Tamandua tetradactyla: one gene and its partner. The protein of the gene in region 2 purifies or fractionates together with the protein of the main gene of each other region. This does not show direct contact. Links are inferred from orthologs where the notes say so. Each region holds a gene or a part of one and is shown on either strand. Other genes may lie near its edges.

Region 1 (7,938 bases), on a different chromosome or scaffold from region 2:
TGGCTACTGGAACACAGCTCTACATTTTCAGGTAGTTTCCTCCAGCCTCTCCATTACATCTTGAATAACAAGGTGATATCTACTTACTGCGTAAGAATAACCTCCAGGATAACCTCTCAACTCTGTTTGGAATCTCTCAGCCATTGACACTTTGCTCATTTCACTCTTCCCCCTTTTGGTCGAGAAGGTTTTCTCAATCACTTGATGCTGAGTCTCAGCTCATTCTAGGATTCCTGTTCCACCTTGCCAGGAAGGCCCACACCCCTGGAAGTCATGTCCCACGTAGACAGGGGGAGGGTGGTGAGATTGTTGTTGTGTTGGCTGGAGAGAGAGGCCACATCTGAGCAACAAAAGAGGCTCTCTTGGGGGTGACTCTTAGGCCTAAATTTTAAGTAGACTTGACCTATCCTTTGTGGGGTTAAGTTTCATATGAACAACCCCCAAGACTGGGAGTTCAGCCTAGCTTTGGTTGTCCACACTGCTTGTGAGAATATCAAGAACTCAACCTGGGGAAGTTGAATTTCTCCCTGTTCTCACCATTCCCTGAAGGGGGCTTGTTGCAAATACTTTCCCATTCACTGATCGAATCACTCTGGGATTCATCGGGGCATCACTCTGGACAAACCAACAAAATCTCATGTCCTACCTGAGATTCCAAGTACTTATGATGTTCAATCAAACTATCTACATAAGTTATATTAAGAAATGCACTAGTCAAAATATAAATTTTGTACCAAATAAACATTTTTTGCTTAAGTCTCACACATAAGGTGACATTTTAAAATATTAATAACCATCTATTTTCAGCACCCTGCAGTAATGACATTCCTTTGTTCTCCCTCATACAAAAACATTTTCAAAATTTGTACATTTAGTCACTATTATTATACACTCTAGGCATTCCTAGATTATACCATCTTGATCTTTAACATCTATTTTTCTTTCTGATTTCATTTATGCCCCCAGCCCTCCTCCCTCTATCATTCTCAACTGCAGCTTCATTCAGTGTTTTAACATAATTGTATTACAGTTAGGTAGTATTGTGTTGTCCATTTCTGAGTTTTTGTATTCAGTCCTGTTGCAGTCTGTATCCCTTCAGCTCCAATTACCCAATATCTTACCCTATTTCTATCTCCTGATGGTCTCTGTTACCAACGAAATATTCCAAGTTTATTCACTAATGTCAGTTCATATCAGTGAGACCATGTCCTTTTGTTTTTGGCTAGTCTCACTCAGCATAATGTTCTCAAGGTTCATCCATGTTGTTACATACTTCGTAACCTTATTCTGTCTTAAAGCTGCATAATATTCCATTGTATGTATATACCACAGTTTGTTTAGCCACTCGTCTGTTGATGGACATTTTGGCTGTTTCCATCTCTTTGCAATTGTAAATAATGCTGCTATAAATATTGGTGTGCAAATGTCCGTTTGTGTCTTTGCCCTTATGTCCTTTAAGTAGATACCTAGCAATGGTATTGCCGAGTCATATGGCAATTCTATATTCAGCTTTTTGAGGAACCGCCAAACTGCCTTCCACAGCGGTTGCACCATTTGACATTCCCACCAACAGTGAATAAGTGTGCCTCTTTCTCCACATCCTCTCTAACACTTGTCATTTTCTGTTTTGTTGATAATGGCCATTCTGGTGAATGTGAATGATATCTCACTGTGGTTTTAATTTGCATTTCTCTCATGGCCAGGGAAGTTGAGCATCTCTTCATGTGCCTTTTGGCCATTTGTATTTCCTCTTCTGAGAAGTGTCTGTTCAAGTCTTTTTCCCATTTTGTAATTGGATTGGCTGTCTTTTTGTTGTTAAGTTGAACAATCTCTTTATAAATTCTGGACACTAGACCTTTATCTGATATGTCATTTCCAAACATTGTCTCCCATTGTGTAAGCTGTCTTTTTACTTTCTTGATGAAGTTCTTTGATGCGCAAAAGTGTTTAATTTTGAGGAGTTCCCATTTCTTTCTTTCTTTCTTCATTGCTCTTGCTTTGGGTATAAGGTAAAATTAAAAACTTTTGTGCCTCAAAGGACTTTATCATGAAAGTAAAATGACAACCTACACAATGGGAAAAAATATTTGGAAATCACCTTTCTAATAAAGGGTTAATATCCAGAATATATAAATAGATTTTACAACTCAACAAGAAAAAAAAAACCAATTAAAAAATGGACATAAGACCCAAATAGATATTTCTTTAAAGAAGATATACAAGTGGCCAAAAAGGACATGAAAATGTGCTCAATATCATTAGCCATCAGGGAAATGTAAATCAAAAGCATAATGAGAGGAAGGGTCACGGTGGCTCAGCAGGCAGAGTTCTCGCCTGCCAGGCCAGAGACCTGGGTTTGATTCCCGGTGCCTGCCCATGTAAAAAGAAAAAGCACAATGAGATACCACTTCACACTCACTAATGGCTACCATGAACAGAATAGAAAATTACAAGCATTAGAGAGAATGTAGAGAAATAGGAACACTCCCTCATCGCTGGTGTGAATGTAAAATGGTGCGGCTGCTTTGGAAGACAGTTTGGCAGTTCCTCAAAAAGTTAAGCATAGAATTACCATATGACCCAGAAATCCCACTTCCAGGTATGTACCCCAAAGAATTGAAAGCAGAGACTTAGAGATATTTGCACACCAATGTTCAAAGTGAAATTATTCATGATTGCCCAAAAATGGAAGCAACCTAAGAATCCATCAGCCAGTGGATAAACCAAGTGTGGTGTATACCCAAAACAGAGTATTATTTAGCCATAAAAAGGGATGAATTTCTGATACATGTGACAACAGTGATGAACCCTGAAGACATTATGTTGAGTGAAATAAGCCAGAAGGACAAATACTGTATGATCTCAATGAAATGAAAGAATTAAAATAAGCAAAATCAGAGTCAGTATCCACAATATAGGTCACCAGAGAACAGGGTTGAGGTAGGGACTAGGGGGTTAAGGTTCAAAACGTACAGAGTTTCTATTTAGGACAATGGAAAAGTTTTAGAAATGGATGGTGGTGATGGTACTATAAATGTTGTGAATGTAATTAACAGCATCAAATTATATATTTAAATGTGACTAAAAGGGGAAATTTTAGTTTGCATATATGTTACTAGAATAGAAATAAAAAAAATAAAATAAAAAAACAACACAAACAGTGAGCCCAAAGTTAAATAATGGACAATAGTTAATAGTACAATTTGAAAAATGTGTAAGACAAAAATATCTCATGGGGGAAAAGATAGATTCTGTGGTAAAATAATACTAATGAAACTTGAAAACCACAGATCCAGTAAAACTCCCCTCCTCATAGTGGGTGGATGGGGAAACTTGTCCAGGGTCAATCTCTAGTCTTCCGCCTTTTAGGCCAGGTCTGCCCTGACAATGCTTCTGCCGGCCCATAGAACAGGCAGCAGGAAGGTCTCTGTGGAGGCATAGCTTGAACCAGCCACTCAATATGACCAAGAGCCTCTAGCTGCAAACTGAGGTCTTTTTGGCCTGGGATCTCATGGGGAAAAGCCACTGTCAACAGAATAAACGATCCAAAGACCCCAGACCTGCAGACTTTGAGAGCAGTGGGACACACCTCAGATCAACTTCCAGAAGTCCTCAAGATCCCAGACTGTTCTTACCTTTAGAAAAATTTGGGGCCCTGGCCTGGGAAGTGTGGATCCTGGGTTCCAGCTACCTGACCACTTCATGGGACAGCAGCCTTCTCTTTAAGGGAGACAGCTAGGCATAGCCACTCACTCCCTAGACTGTGGTTCCCTTGAGGGCAGAGCTTGTGAATTCCTTGGTGTAGTGTCCTCGTGGGCACAGAGTCCAGTGGGCACAGGGTCAGGCACAGAGCAGGAATGCTAGAATCCTTAACTTGAAACACAATTTTCCTCATTTATTTTTTTCTTTCTTTCTTTTGTATGCTATATGGCAGGGTCATATTTCATTCTTTTTCCATGTGAGTATCCTATTATTGCAGCACCATTTTGTTGAATTTTTGTTTGTTTGTTTTTGTTGGTTTCCTAGCTTGTTTGGGAATTACATGGGATGGGAATCAAACCTGGGTCTCCTGGATGGCAGGCAAGAATTCTACCACTGAACTACCCTTGCACCCCCCCCCCCCCATTTATTTTTAAAATAAGGCTTCCAACAAGTGGCTCTTTCTATCCCTCCTCTACCCCCCTAAACTGTGATCATCCACAGTGGCAACCGACGTTCTACACTTGATGGTGTGAAGCTTTCTCCTCCCTCCTTTTTACCCCTAGATTGGCTCTGGGAGGAGGGAATCTCTACACTCTGGGAAGAGTGGGTGCTTGGCACTCCCAGTTTCTTCTTTTGACATTCTTCTCCCTTTGGGTGGCCCAGCCTCAAGGTCATCAAGTCTACTTGTCAATGCAGCAGAATTTGATAGCATGCGCTTGCCCTGGACACCAAGTGGAATATTCAGGTGGTTGATCATGGATAGATGACAGTAAGGGCATGATCTAGTCCTTGCCTCAGAGTCTTAATCCCTTTGCTGTGAAACACTTAGAACATCAGTGATGAGGACACTTATCTTTACTTAGTCAGGGTAGGGGTCCTATTCCCACTCTCCCACCCCCCCACCCCCCCCGCCAGATGACAAGGGACAGGCAAGACATCAAGAACCAAAGCTGTAGGCCCCATTTGTTCTCACCTCCTGGCAGTGACTGAGACCTGAGAAACTCTTCTCATCTCCAGGTCCCTGAAAGTTCCTCCTCTTCTTCCACTCCCTACAGCGTGGGGTTAGAGAGATCCAGTGAGCTCTTCCAGACCTTACATCCATCTCCAAAGTCCAAAGGCAGCTCCTGAACCCTTCCCTTGCCTACTGGTCCCTGGTTGTCCTGGTCCCTGGTCCTGTGGGGAGGGGGCTGGGTTGTGACTTCATAAAAGGCTGTCTTTGTGACAAGTCTGAGTCTGATGAAGTAGGAGCTTGACAAACGGCTGTCCCCTGGAAACATCATGGGAATTTCATAGAGAGACACCCCTACCTCTGAGGGAATGTAGAGGAATTGCCCCATGGTAAGACCCCAGGATATCTTTCCATACCTAGAGATATCTCTTCTTAATGACTTGGGATCCCAAGCCTAACTGGGTATTCTTGGTTATATCTGGCAACACCTCTCAGGGATCCTAGCATGTGGCAGTCAGGCTTGAGGAGGAGCAGAAGGTGGGTTACTCCAGGTGATGGTAGAGGGCCTTGGACTTCCTAATTGAGTCATTCCCATGTTTGTCCATTAGACAAAGCCATTCTTCTGTAGATACTTTAGAAGTAAAGTAACTGATAGAGTAGGAGGCTTTATCTGACCTGTGTCTCCACCAGGGTCTGCCCTAGCGATCTCTAGAGTACCTCTGAATGGGTCAGGCCACATCTCCCTGAATCTTCTACAAAGGACTCAACAGCTACAAAAATAGATATCGCCAAAAAAACAGGGGCTTCTGGTATGTTGGAGGCAAGGCCGAGATACCAGAATCTTTCCTAAGGCTGACTCCACCTTCATTTCCTCCCAAAAGGATTTATAATCTCTTGAACCTGGGGATTATAAATTACCCTGGGCAAAAGAAGGTAGGGGTACACTGGCATGAGGAAATTCAGGATACCTCTGACTGTTGCTTCCTCCTTAAGTGCCCTGCAACCACTCCTTAACTTCCAAGCCATTCCTGGTACGTGCCCTCTGCGAAGGGTAGGGCCTCAGGAAGAGCAGAAATGATAGGCTATCATCTTGGTAGTTAGGCTGGGGGATCCGACCTGCCCTGGGAGTATCTGGAGCCCAGAGTTTGGCCCTCTTCCTGCGTCAGCCCCTGCTTTGTGCTGGGCAGGCCCATTGGAAGGACCTGGTATATCATCTTCACCACCCACTCCAGCTTCCTGCTTTGGCCTCTATTTTGACTGTAATATCACCATCTTACCAGAGATCCCAAGAGAAGTAGGGGAGTGCACTCTGGGCAAAGGTTCCAGATGCAGACTTCATCCCAGCAGAGGGGCATAAGTGATGAGCTGGTGGGGGATGGTGACATGTCTGACTTCACATCCAAGGGATTTTTTCACCTTGACTGCCCTTTACCCTCAATCAACTGTAGTCCTTGCAGGCATGAGGAAGCCAGAAGTAGAGCTTCCAACCTTTACCCTTTGATGAACTCATTTTCATTTCTCTCCTGGAATGGAGAGTGGCCAGGTGACCCTCAAGAATGGATATTCCACTACTTTCCAGTGCTCCTAAAAAGGTGCCTTGGGATTATTTCTTATAAGGAACATGTTCCTCATTTTAATATAGAGAGCCTGAGTTCTTCCAACAGGCAACCTTGAGGGCAAAGAGAAATCAGCCAGGGCTAAGGTTGACCTGGGGAACTCCAACTGGGACAGGTACAGACTGATGATAATCAAAATCAGAATAGCCATTACTTATCCAGCACTTACTGTGCACCAGGCCCCACGCTTAGCACTTTACATGCATTATCATATTTAACCCTTACAATATCATTGGAAAGAAGGTATTATTTCCATTTTCCAGCCAGGGAAACTGAAGTGCAAGTGAGATGAAGCAACTGAGCTGAGGTTCCACAACTGATAAATGGGGGTGACAGAATTGGGACTCAAATTTGTTTGCCTCCAAAGCTGTACTCAACTGCTGAACTTTCTCCTAGTACAAACCCTCCTCACTAAAGAAGAAAAGAAACTACTCTATTTTCTCATTCCTGACCATTAATGATAGGGTTAAAGAGAGAAGGGTGAAAGGAAGGAATTTGAGTCTGCTATCTCCCAGATCATTGGCTTTAGGATAAGCCATCCTTGGATCCTTGGACCTGTCTAATCTTGAATGAGATCCACCAGAGGTGGCTGTTCTGATATGCTTCTTACAATTTTGCAGATAATTAAAGTAAGGCCCTGGGGGCCATGGGAGGGAAATACTTGGGGGTCTGTGGTTGTGCAATGGCTCTGGGGTATGGTTGCTAGATAAAATACAGGATGTCCAGTTTGTTGGATTTTAGGTAAACAATAATTTAAAAAACACAAATATGTCATAAATATTGTATGGTGTCCTCTGGGGGCTCCTTGCTCTGGCTGGGGCCCATATGTTGGATCTGGGGAGGGAAGAGGAGTTGCTTATTCATTTCCCACTTGAGTCTCAGGTACCTCTATGAAGTAGTACCTGTGGGGGCAGGATGTGAGGACTGACTCCTGGAGACTGCAGCTGCTATGGCCACTGGACAGGGTGGGAGCTTAAATTTTTGCCTTAGTGAAGCCTCAGTTTCTCTCTCTGTAAAATGAGAGTGGTGGATGTGGGATTCAGATGAAAGGTTGCTTTGCATTTCTCTTGGAGAATGTGGTAGGGACAGGACACCAGCTGAAGGACAGGGATTTCTCTGGCCAGGCTGAGGTTCCCAGAGGCTGACAACCCCGAGCCTCTTCTTAGTGACTCCTGTAATATTCCTAGGTAACCCAGCAGTCTTGTCCAGCTAACAGGAGAACAGGAATGGTTGTGAGATAGCCTGCCTCACCTCCCAGTCCCAGATAATTGTGGGAGGAATCACATGGTTATGGGGGCAGTACCAGGGTGGGGATGGGCTGGTGGGAGTACCTAATCGGTTGAGCTAGAAAGTATTGGGAGAGAAGGGGTGGGTGATGGGGGGGGGGGGGTGATGGAGGAAATATTCAGGGCCCAGAGGATTTGGCAATTTTCCTGCTCCAAGGAGTTTGCATGATTAGGGGCAGGGGCAGCGGGAGGGTGTCTGAGTCTGTGGCCCTTGGTGCTTGGGACCAGGGCTGGGCCACTCTTGTACTTTCTCTGTTGCTCAGCAGATCCTTGACCTTTCAGCTTCTTTCTCAGGTTGGGGTGGGAGGTGGAATGTGGTAATGGGGTAATGGGGAGGCAGGGCAGGGCAGAGTCTAGAGTAGTTCTATCAAAGAGACCAAGGAGT
Region 2 (7,250 bases):
TAACCTGGAGTGGAAACTAGTACAGCCTTTGCAAGTTCACACTGGGTTGTAAAAGCTCTGAAACAGGCACATCCTTTAATTCCTGAGAGCAGAATACATCCTAGGAAAATAGGATGTGTGCAGAATGTTCAGTCATTCATTCATTCAACAAATATTTATTGAACACGTACTGTATGCTTAGATCCTATGCCAGGAGCTGAGGACATGGCAGAGAGCACAATCCTCTGCTCCCATGTAGCTTGCATTTAGTGGAAAGCTTACACAGAACAGCATCATTTTGCAAAATCAGTGAACTTGGAAACAACCTAGGAATCCAATAGTGGATACATAATGTAGAGTTTATCCCTTAGAGCAGCTCTGAGTAACAAAACTTTCGGTGATGGCCAATATATGTGATTTTTGCAACTATGGGATGGGATTTTTAGTTTTACTTTAATTGACTTAAATAGGCACTCATGGCTAGCAGGCTACCTTTATTGGAGAGCATATTTAGAAACATAAAAAATTGTGCCAGAGAAGAATGCAATAATGGAGAAGGAGCTGTGTTCACAGATTCTACGGGGAGCACCTAGCTGAGATGATGGCTCTCAGCCCGCCCCACTCTCACCCCACAGCTCCGTCCTGTCCCCTTACGAGAGGCAGCTCAACTTGGATGGCTGTGCCCAGCACCTGATGGATCAGGGGGGCAAGAGGAAGAGGAGGAACTCCAGTTCTTGGTAAAGCTCCCTGCCATAGACATGCTCTAGGGAGCTCTGCGGGTGCAGAGGCAGTGGGGCGTGCTGGCATCTGGAACCTTGGAGAATGCATGAGCTTAGGAGCTGGGCTAGTGTGGTTGCTACCTAGGCTCTGGGAGAAGTGGCACCCGTCCTCAGTGCAGCAGGATATATATGCTACAGCAGCCAGGAATCCATGTGTTGTCTTTCTTCATTCTACATCCTCAGGTCCACTCCTAAGAAGCCCAAGTCCCCAGAGACCCCCATGCAGGGAATGGATGGGACACCTGAGAGCCTGGCAACCTCAAGTTCACATCCCCGAAAACAGAACAGCCAATGCCTAGAGGAGATCCCCCAAGAGTCAAGCCTTGGAAAGGGCCCAGAGGGCCCCTGTCAGCTTCTGGAGTCCTTGGGACCCTTGCCTGGCCTGACCAGGGATGGGGTAGGGAACAGCCAGGAAAGTGGCAAAGTAGAGAATGGGGTCAAGGGGCCTTGTAAGCCACGCTGGAACTTTGAGCAGATCTCCTTCCCCAACATGGCCTCAGATAGCCGCCACACTCTCCTGCTTGCCCCAGCCCCAGAGCTGCTCCCGTCCAATGTTGCTGGACGGGAGACAGATGCTGCATCCTGGTGCCAGAAGCTGAACCAGCGAAAGGAGAAGCTATCCCGGCGGGAACAGGAGCTGCAGGCAGAGGCCCAGCACTTCCGGGAGGATGTAAACACGGACCCTGAGGTGCAGCGCTGTTCCAGCTGGCGGGAGTACAAGGAGCTGCTGCAGAGGCGGCACTTGCAGAGGGCCCAGAGCCACCCCCCACACCTGTGGGACCAGCCCGTCACCCCCTTGCTGAGCCCTGGCCAGGCCGACTCCCCAGGTACCCCTCACCTGCCACAGCTCCCTCAGCCCCCTGGCTAGCCCCTGGCAACTGAGGAGCCACAAGACTTGGCAGAGGTGCTTGGATTGACCAGGATTTTCTGGTCCAGCACAGGGAGTGCTGTCTGGTGGAGTGAAACCCACAAGGACTGCCAGTACTGTGGGGCAGCAGCAGAAGGGCCCACATGAAAAGGTTTAGAGATGAAAAGTCAGTGACCCAGAAGGGAGGAGGGGGTAAGACCAAGCCCTTAAAATCATAACATGACGTGGATGGCCTTGCCATCAACTAGCAACTGTCCCATTAGGTTGGAAGGAGGAGGGTCCCATCTCGGCCAGATGAAAAGCAGCCTTTCTGCTCTTGCTGTGAGCTTAGGGAACTCAGAGGGCAAGAACGGTCCAGGCTAAATGTATTAATGAACCCCAAACTCCTTAAACCCTTTATGGGGACCTGACAGATAAGTAAATTAGGGTTGCCAGATAAAATACACCTATCCTGTACTTTTATTTGCTAAATCTGACTGTCCTAAACTAGATGGTGGATCAGAAAGGTTAAGGGACTTTGCAAATGGCTGACCCTCTATCCCCCAACACCCTTTTCTCACTGTCCTTGTAGCCACTGCCCTCCAACATGTCTCTGTGCTACAGACTGCATGCCTTGCTGACGGAGGGGACCGGTGAGTTTCCACCAGCACCTGTCTTCACAGCACTTGAGCTGCCTGCAGGAGTTGGTGGCTGGGATTTGACTCCTGAAATTGGGTGCCAGCTAGGGGCTCATTCCAGGGGACCACACATGCCTATCCCTGAGCAGTGGCCAATGTCTGTGTGTGTCTAGGGGAGATGGAGGGGTGATAGACAAGAGATGGGTTTATCCCAGAGGTTCTGAGATGGAGCAGCCTAGACCACTCCCTATCTAACCCTCTCACAATTTGTACCTCACAGCCAGCTCTGTTTCCCTAGGTGCCTCCTAGAGCTGGTGGGGTAAAGGACAAGTGGGGGAGGAGAGTTCTCTTTCCTGAGGTTTCTCACTCTGTCTCCAGGCTGCTCAAGAAGTCTGGGGGCTTAGAGATAAGCTTCGATGTTTACCAGGCCGACGCTGTGGCCACTTTCCGGAAGAATAACCCTGGCCAGCCCTACGCCCGGATGTGCATCAGTGGGTATGAGACCGCTGCCCCCAGCTGCCCGGCTAATTTGCCAATCCCAGAGGAACCTGAGGTCCAGAGAGGTCTAGTGACCTACGTGACAGCACACAGCCAGTTAATGCTACTGGAACCTAAGTTTTCCAGTTGTTAGTTCTCATTCCTGGGATTCTGAGTGGTCTCTCTCCTGTACCATGTTAGTCCAGGGCTCCACAACAGAAGGGACAAGAATCAGGAGAATTTACAGACAGCTCACTCTTCCTAGCCTCCTTTCAACCAGCCCCTGGTCCTTTCTTAGAGAACTTTTCAAAGCTCAGTAATTTGCAGAGGAGAACCCAGGGGTCAGCGTTCTTAGACCCCCAACTCTTATCTTACAATCTCCCTTCCCTAGGAACCTCAGAGGGGCTAGGGTCTCAGTCTAAGTTTCATCCCTGCAGATTTGAGGAGCCGGTCCCAGACCTCTGCACCCTCAAGCGGTTATCCTACCAGAGTGGGGATGTCCCCCTGATCTTCGCCCTGGTAGATCACGGAGACATCTCCTTCTACAGCTTCAGGGACTTCACACTGCCCAGAGATCTGGGGCAGTGACCCCAAAGCTCCTCCTCAGTGGGGACCTGGACTCGATCTGCTCTCAGGGACTATCTCAGCTGCCTCCTGCACTCTGGCTCTGACCTGGGGCTGCAGGGGCCAATCTGAACCTTGACCCTGGGTATCTGATGCTGGCAGGAGACTGAAGCTGTGCCCACTCCCTGGCCACTGCAGTGCTTCCAAGCCCCAGACCTGAGATCAGGGCTGTCTTGCAGTGACCCCACTGGAACTCAGGACTAGATTTCAGAGACCAGCAAGGTGGGGCGGAAGAGCTGAGGCTGTGCCTTTAAACGACGGGGTGCCTGTTTCTTGCAATAAAAGCCAAAGCCATTATAAAATAGATTCCTGCCCCCCTCCCTGTTAAGGGCAAGTTGGATTTCCGCCGCCCGCCCCGCCCCTCCCCCCAGTCTGAAGGCGCTGGGTCAAGGCACTGGCTTCCTGACCCTTCTCGGCTGTTTCCCCCACCCCCCACCCTACTCAGAGAGTTGCTTTCTCTGTTGAGGGACCTGAGCCCTGCGGATGGTCAAGAACGCGCCCCTGCACCTTGCTGGAGGCCAGCGCCAGAGGGGAGGGGAGCCCAAACCTCCTGTCTGCTTGGGTTTCTGACAGAGTCCAAAGAGACACGCCAGGCCCCAGCAGACCTTTCCTGAGTAGCTGGGGTAGAAGGTCGGGGCAGAAGGGTGGCGGAGAGGCGCCGCGTCCGTGCGGCTCGAACCCCTCTCGCCCGAAGGGGCCTCGGGCCGGGCTGCCGCGTCCCCTGCGCTCTCGCCACTCCGGCCCCCTCGCATGTGCTGAGCCTCCCGCCGCTGCTCCCGGGGACCGGCCCCTGCCCACTTCGGCAGCAGGCTCGAAGGCGGGGCGTCCCGGGAAGGCCGCCGTGCGCTTGGAGCCCGCCCCGAGGGGAGGCGCCTCGCGGCGACGTCCCGATCCCCATATCCCCCTCTCCTGGGTTCCAAAACCTGGTCCCGCGTCCGCCGCTCGCCCTCTGGGCGGAGCCCGTGAGCCTCGGCCCCAGCTTCGGCAGCTCGGGGCCGGGTAGTGGGAGAACGAGCCGTCTTCTGGGGGCGGCTGCGCGGCCGGGGACTATTTCCTCCTGCGGGAGGCGGAGGGACACTGGGCGCGGCGCGGCATCCTGCGGCCCAGGTAGACGCAGGTGAGGCGAGGGGCGGGCCCTAGTGCCTCGTGCATATTCACGCGGGTCGCGGCCCCGCCCCGCTCTCTCAGAGCCTGCGGATTGGCCGGAGCGTTGCCCCCGGTCCCTGAGGGCGGCCTCGCCGCGCTCCCGCCCCGTCGGCGCCGGGCCGTGGGGGGCGGGGCCGGGCCGCGGGGGGCGGGCACTCGGGGTTCGGCGGGGCCCGGCTGGCCCGGCCTTTATGTAAATAGCGGCGGCTCCGCCCCGGGCTCGCGGCGCCTGAGGTGAGCAGGAAGGAGAAGGGCGCCCGGCAGCCTGTGGGCCCGCGCAGCGGAGCGAGCGGAGCGGGTGGCAGGCGCCCAGGGACGGCGAGGCCTCGGGCGGGGCCTGCCCGGGCTTCCAGGTGATGAGCTAGCCGGGACCCACCGAGCGGGGCCCGCCCCCTTGGGGCGCCCTGCCCTCGGGACGCCGGCGGGTGGGGGGTGGTCCCGAGACCCCTGGGCTTCCCCGGGCCGGGCGGGCAGGGCTGCGCCCGGGTCCAGCCGCTTTGCTCTTGTCCCTGTCCCGGCCTCTTTGGTCGCCTGGGAGAAAGTCACCTGTAGACAGTGCCGCTGCGAACCTTCCTGTCTGACCCGACTGCGATTACGGAACTTGGGTTTCGGGTTTGCACAATAGCGTGTGCCTTTGGGAGCCGGGAAGCAGGTGCCCGGCCCTGCTGGGTGCGGGGCGCACCGCGGGGGAGACGGGGCCCCGGGCCTCGCGCCTCACGTGCCCAGCGTCTGGCCGGGGGAGGCCGACGACGCGTCTCCGGTGGCCTGTCCCCGCGCGGCGGCCGGAGCGCGTTACATGAGCGGCTTAGCCCCTGCCATCTGGGGCCCCTCCCTCCCGGCCCTTTGTGCCTCCTAATCCCCGGACTCAGGAAGCCCGCGGGAGGGACTTGGGTCTTGGGGCCTATCTCCGCCCTGGGGCACCCTTAGGCGCCTGTACGGAGCCCCAGTTTGTTTTCCTCGACGGAACGCAGTTGGGGGTTGCGCTGCGGGACGTTCCGACTTGGCAAGGAGTGGAAAGTTTTGTCTGACCAACGAAAGTGTGCAAAGTTTGCTCCTGCTTTAATCCGGCTGCGCCGCTCGGGGATAGCCAGGGCCTTGGCTGTGGCTGAGCTGATGGTAACCCGGGGAGCCGCGGCGCGGCCCCCTGCGGCTCTCACCTGAGACAGGTGAGCTTGGAGTGCGCGTCTGGACTTGGACTCAGCGCCCTTTCTCCTCGGGAGGCCTGTGCCGCTGCACGGCTTCTTCATCTGGGCTCCTGGACCCCCTGCGGGAGCTGGCAACTCAGGGTGCTATCACTGCAGAGGGGAAGTGGGCCGGGAGGCAGTGGGCGTGTCAGGACCACATGGAAGCCGGGTAGGAAGAACCGAGAGGCCCGGCAACAGAGCTGTGACCCCGCGGAGGGGAAGCGGAGGTCACAGGTGAGTTTTGAAGAAGACAGTTTGGGTCTGTGAGCTGCGTTGTGAGAAGGGACTCTGGAGAGATGGACTGAATGGAAGGGGCATGCAGGTTTGGTTAGCCTAAGCTGTCTGCACCTGGTGGCAGCCAGGACTCAAACCCAGTTTTGGGGGCTCTGTCCAGGACTCTCACCTCTTCAGCAAAGTTAGACTGGGCCAGTTTTTTTTGGGGGGGCGGTGGCACTGGACAGCTGTTGCAGAGCTTGTGGGCACTCTGGGCCCTCTCTGTTGTTGGAGGCAGCAGAGTATAGCAGAAAGTTACCTGCCCCGCCTCCCACGCCCCCCCCCACTAGCTGCGAGTAATAGTTGTGTTTTTGAAAATAATACTTAGTAACTTGTAAAAATTGTGGTAAAATACACGTAACATAAAAATTACCATTCTGATCTCTTTAAAGTGGCCTTTTAATACATTCGTAATGTTGTGTAACCACCACCTCTAATTCCAGAATATTTTCATCATCCCCAAAACTTAGTAAAATTTTTGAGGAAAAACCGACCCATAATCCCAGATTATAAAAACAAAAAGTAGTTGAGGCACATGGTAGAGAAAACCAAACATTATAGGAAAGCATGAAATGAAAGAGGGAAAGTGTTCTCCCTCTTGCCTCCCAGTCTTTTCCCTCTAACAAAATATTAAGTTTTAAACAAATCTTTCCAGAAAGACATCAGGTATAATTTTGAATGGTGGCCTTGCCATTTTCTTACTGAATGACCTTGGCTCAGTCATTTAACTGGGCTGAGCCTCCGTGAACCCTGTTTTCTCAGATGTTGGCAGAGGACGCAAAGTGTCATGAATTTGCGTGGCCTGGCGCATAGCAGGCACCCGGTAAGGATGAGCGTCTCAGCTTCCCCATGAAGCATGCAAAGGGCCAGTCACCCTGCAGGCCTTTTGGAGGTGCCTGATGAGTGAGAGGGAATTTGGCTTCCCTCTCTGAGGAGTCAGCAGAGGTCACAATTTTGAGATCTTTTAAAGCCTCTGAAGGTCAGAACTTTTTTCATCAGGAAGGTGCTCCTCAGAAGCTGGGGAGAGGAGGTTGAGGGAGGTGGGAGTGGCCTCTCCTAGCCTCGCGTGATTTCCAGCGCCCTTGGCCTTTCACCTGCTCCTGGGGAAAGCCAGGGGTGAGCCCAGCTGCGGGCCTTCCCTGGGCTGGGGTGGGGGGTGGGGGCCTGGTGCCGAGCCTGCTCAGGCCAAGAGGAATTTGGCTGTGCGCACTCTGTTCACCCTTTGGGGGCATGGGATTGCAGATTCCTGTGCTTTCCTTGTCACCATCAGGATTTTCTAGGAATGCCATCGTGCCTGCTTTCA

Evidence for each region.
Region 1: the proteins of LLGL2 (region 2) and DCAF1 purify together in Homo sapiens (co-immunoprecipitation; 3 studies listed by BioGRID and IntAct, counting the BioPlex papers as one, with this or other methods). This does not show direct contact. The link is inferred for Tamandua tetradactyla from reciprocal best matches to the Homo sapiens genes LLGL2 and DCAF1.

Annotation. Positions count from the first base shown.
Region 1 is NC_135341.1:34,577,375-34,585,312, forward strand, and holds the start of DCAF1 (DDB1- and CUL4-associated factor 1), read left to right. Parts: upstream 1-4,933; 5' UTR 4,934-5,040; intron 5,041-5,137; exon of another isoform or gene 5,138-5,188; intron 5,189-7,938. UniProt on the Homo sapiens protein: Acts both as a substrate recognition component of E3 ubiquitin-protein ligase complexes and as an atypical serine/threonine-protein kinase, playing key roles in various processes such as cell cycle, telomerase regulation and histone modification.
Region 2 is NC_135332.1:15,925,633-15,932,882, forward strand, and holds the start of LLGL2 (LLGL scribble cell polarity complex component 2), read left to right. Parts: upstream 1-4,249; 5' UTR 4,250-4,461; intron 4,462-4,719; exon of another isoform or gene 4,720-4,843; intron 4,844-5,339; exon of another isoform or gene 5,340-5,656; intron 5,657-5,692; exon of another isoform or gene 5,693-5,908; intron 5,909-7,250. Other genes in the region: TSEN54 (tRNA-splicing endonuclease subunit Sen54), read left to right, coding at 615-716, 942-1,585, 2,198-2,258, 2,622-2,738, 3,158-3,308. UniProt on the Homo sapiens protein: Part of a complex with GPSM2/LGN, PRKCI/aPKC and PARD6B/Par-6, which may ensure the correct organization and orientation of bipolar spindles for normal cell division.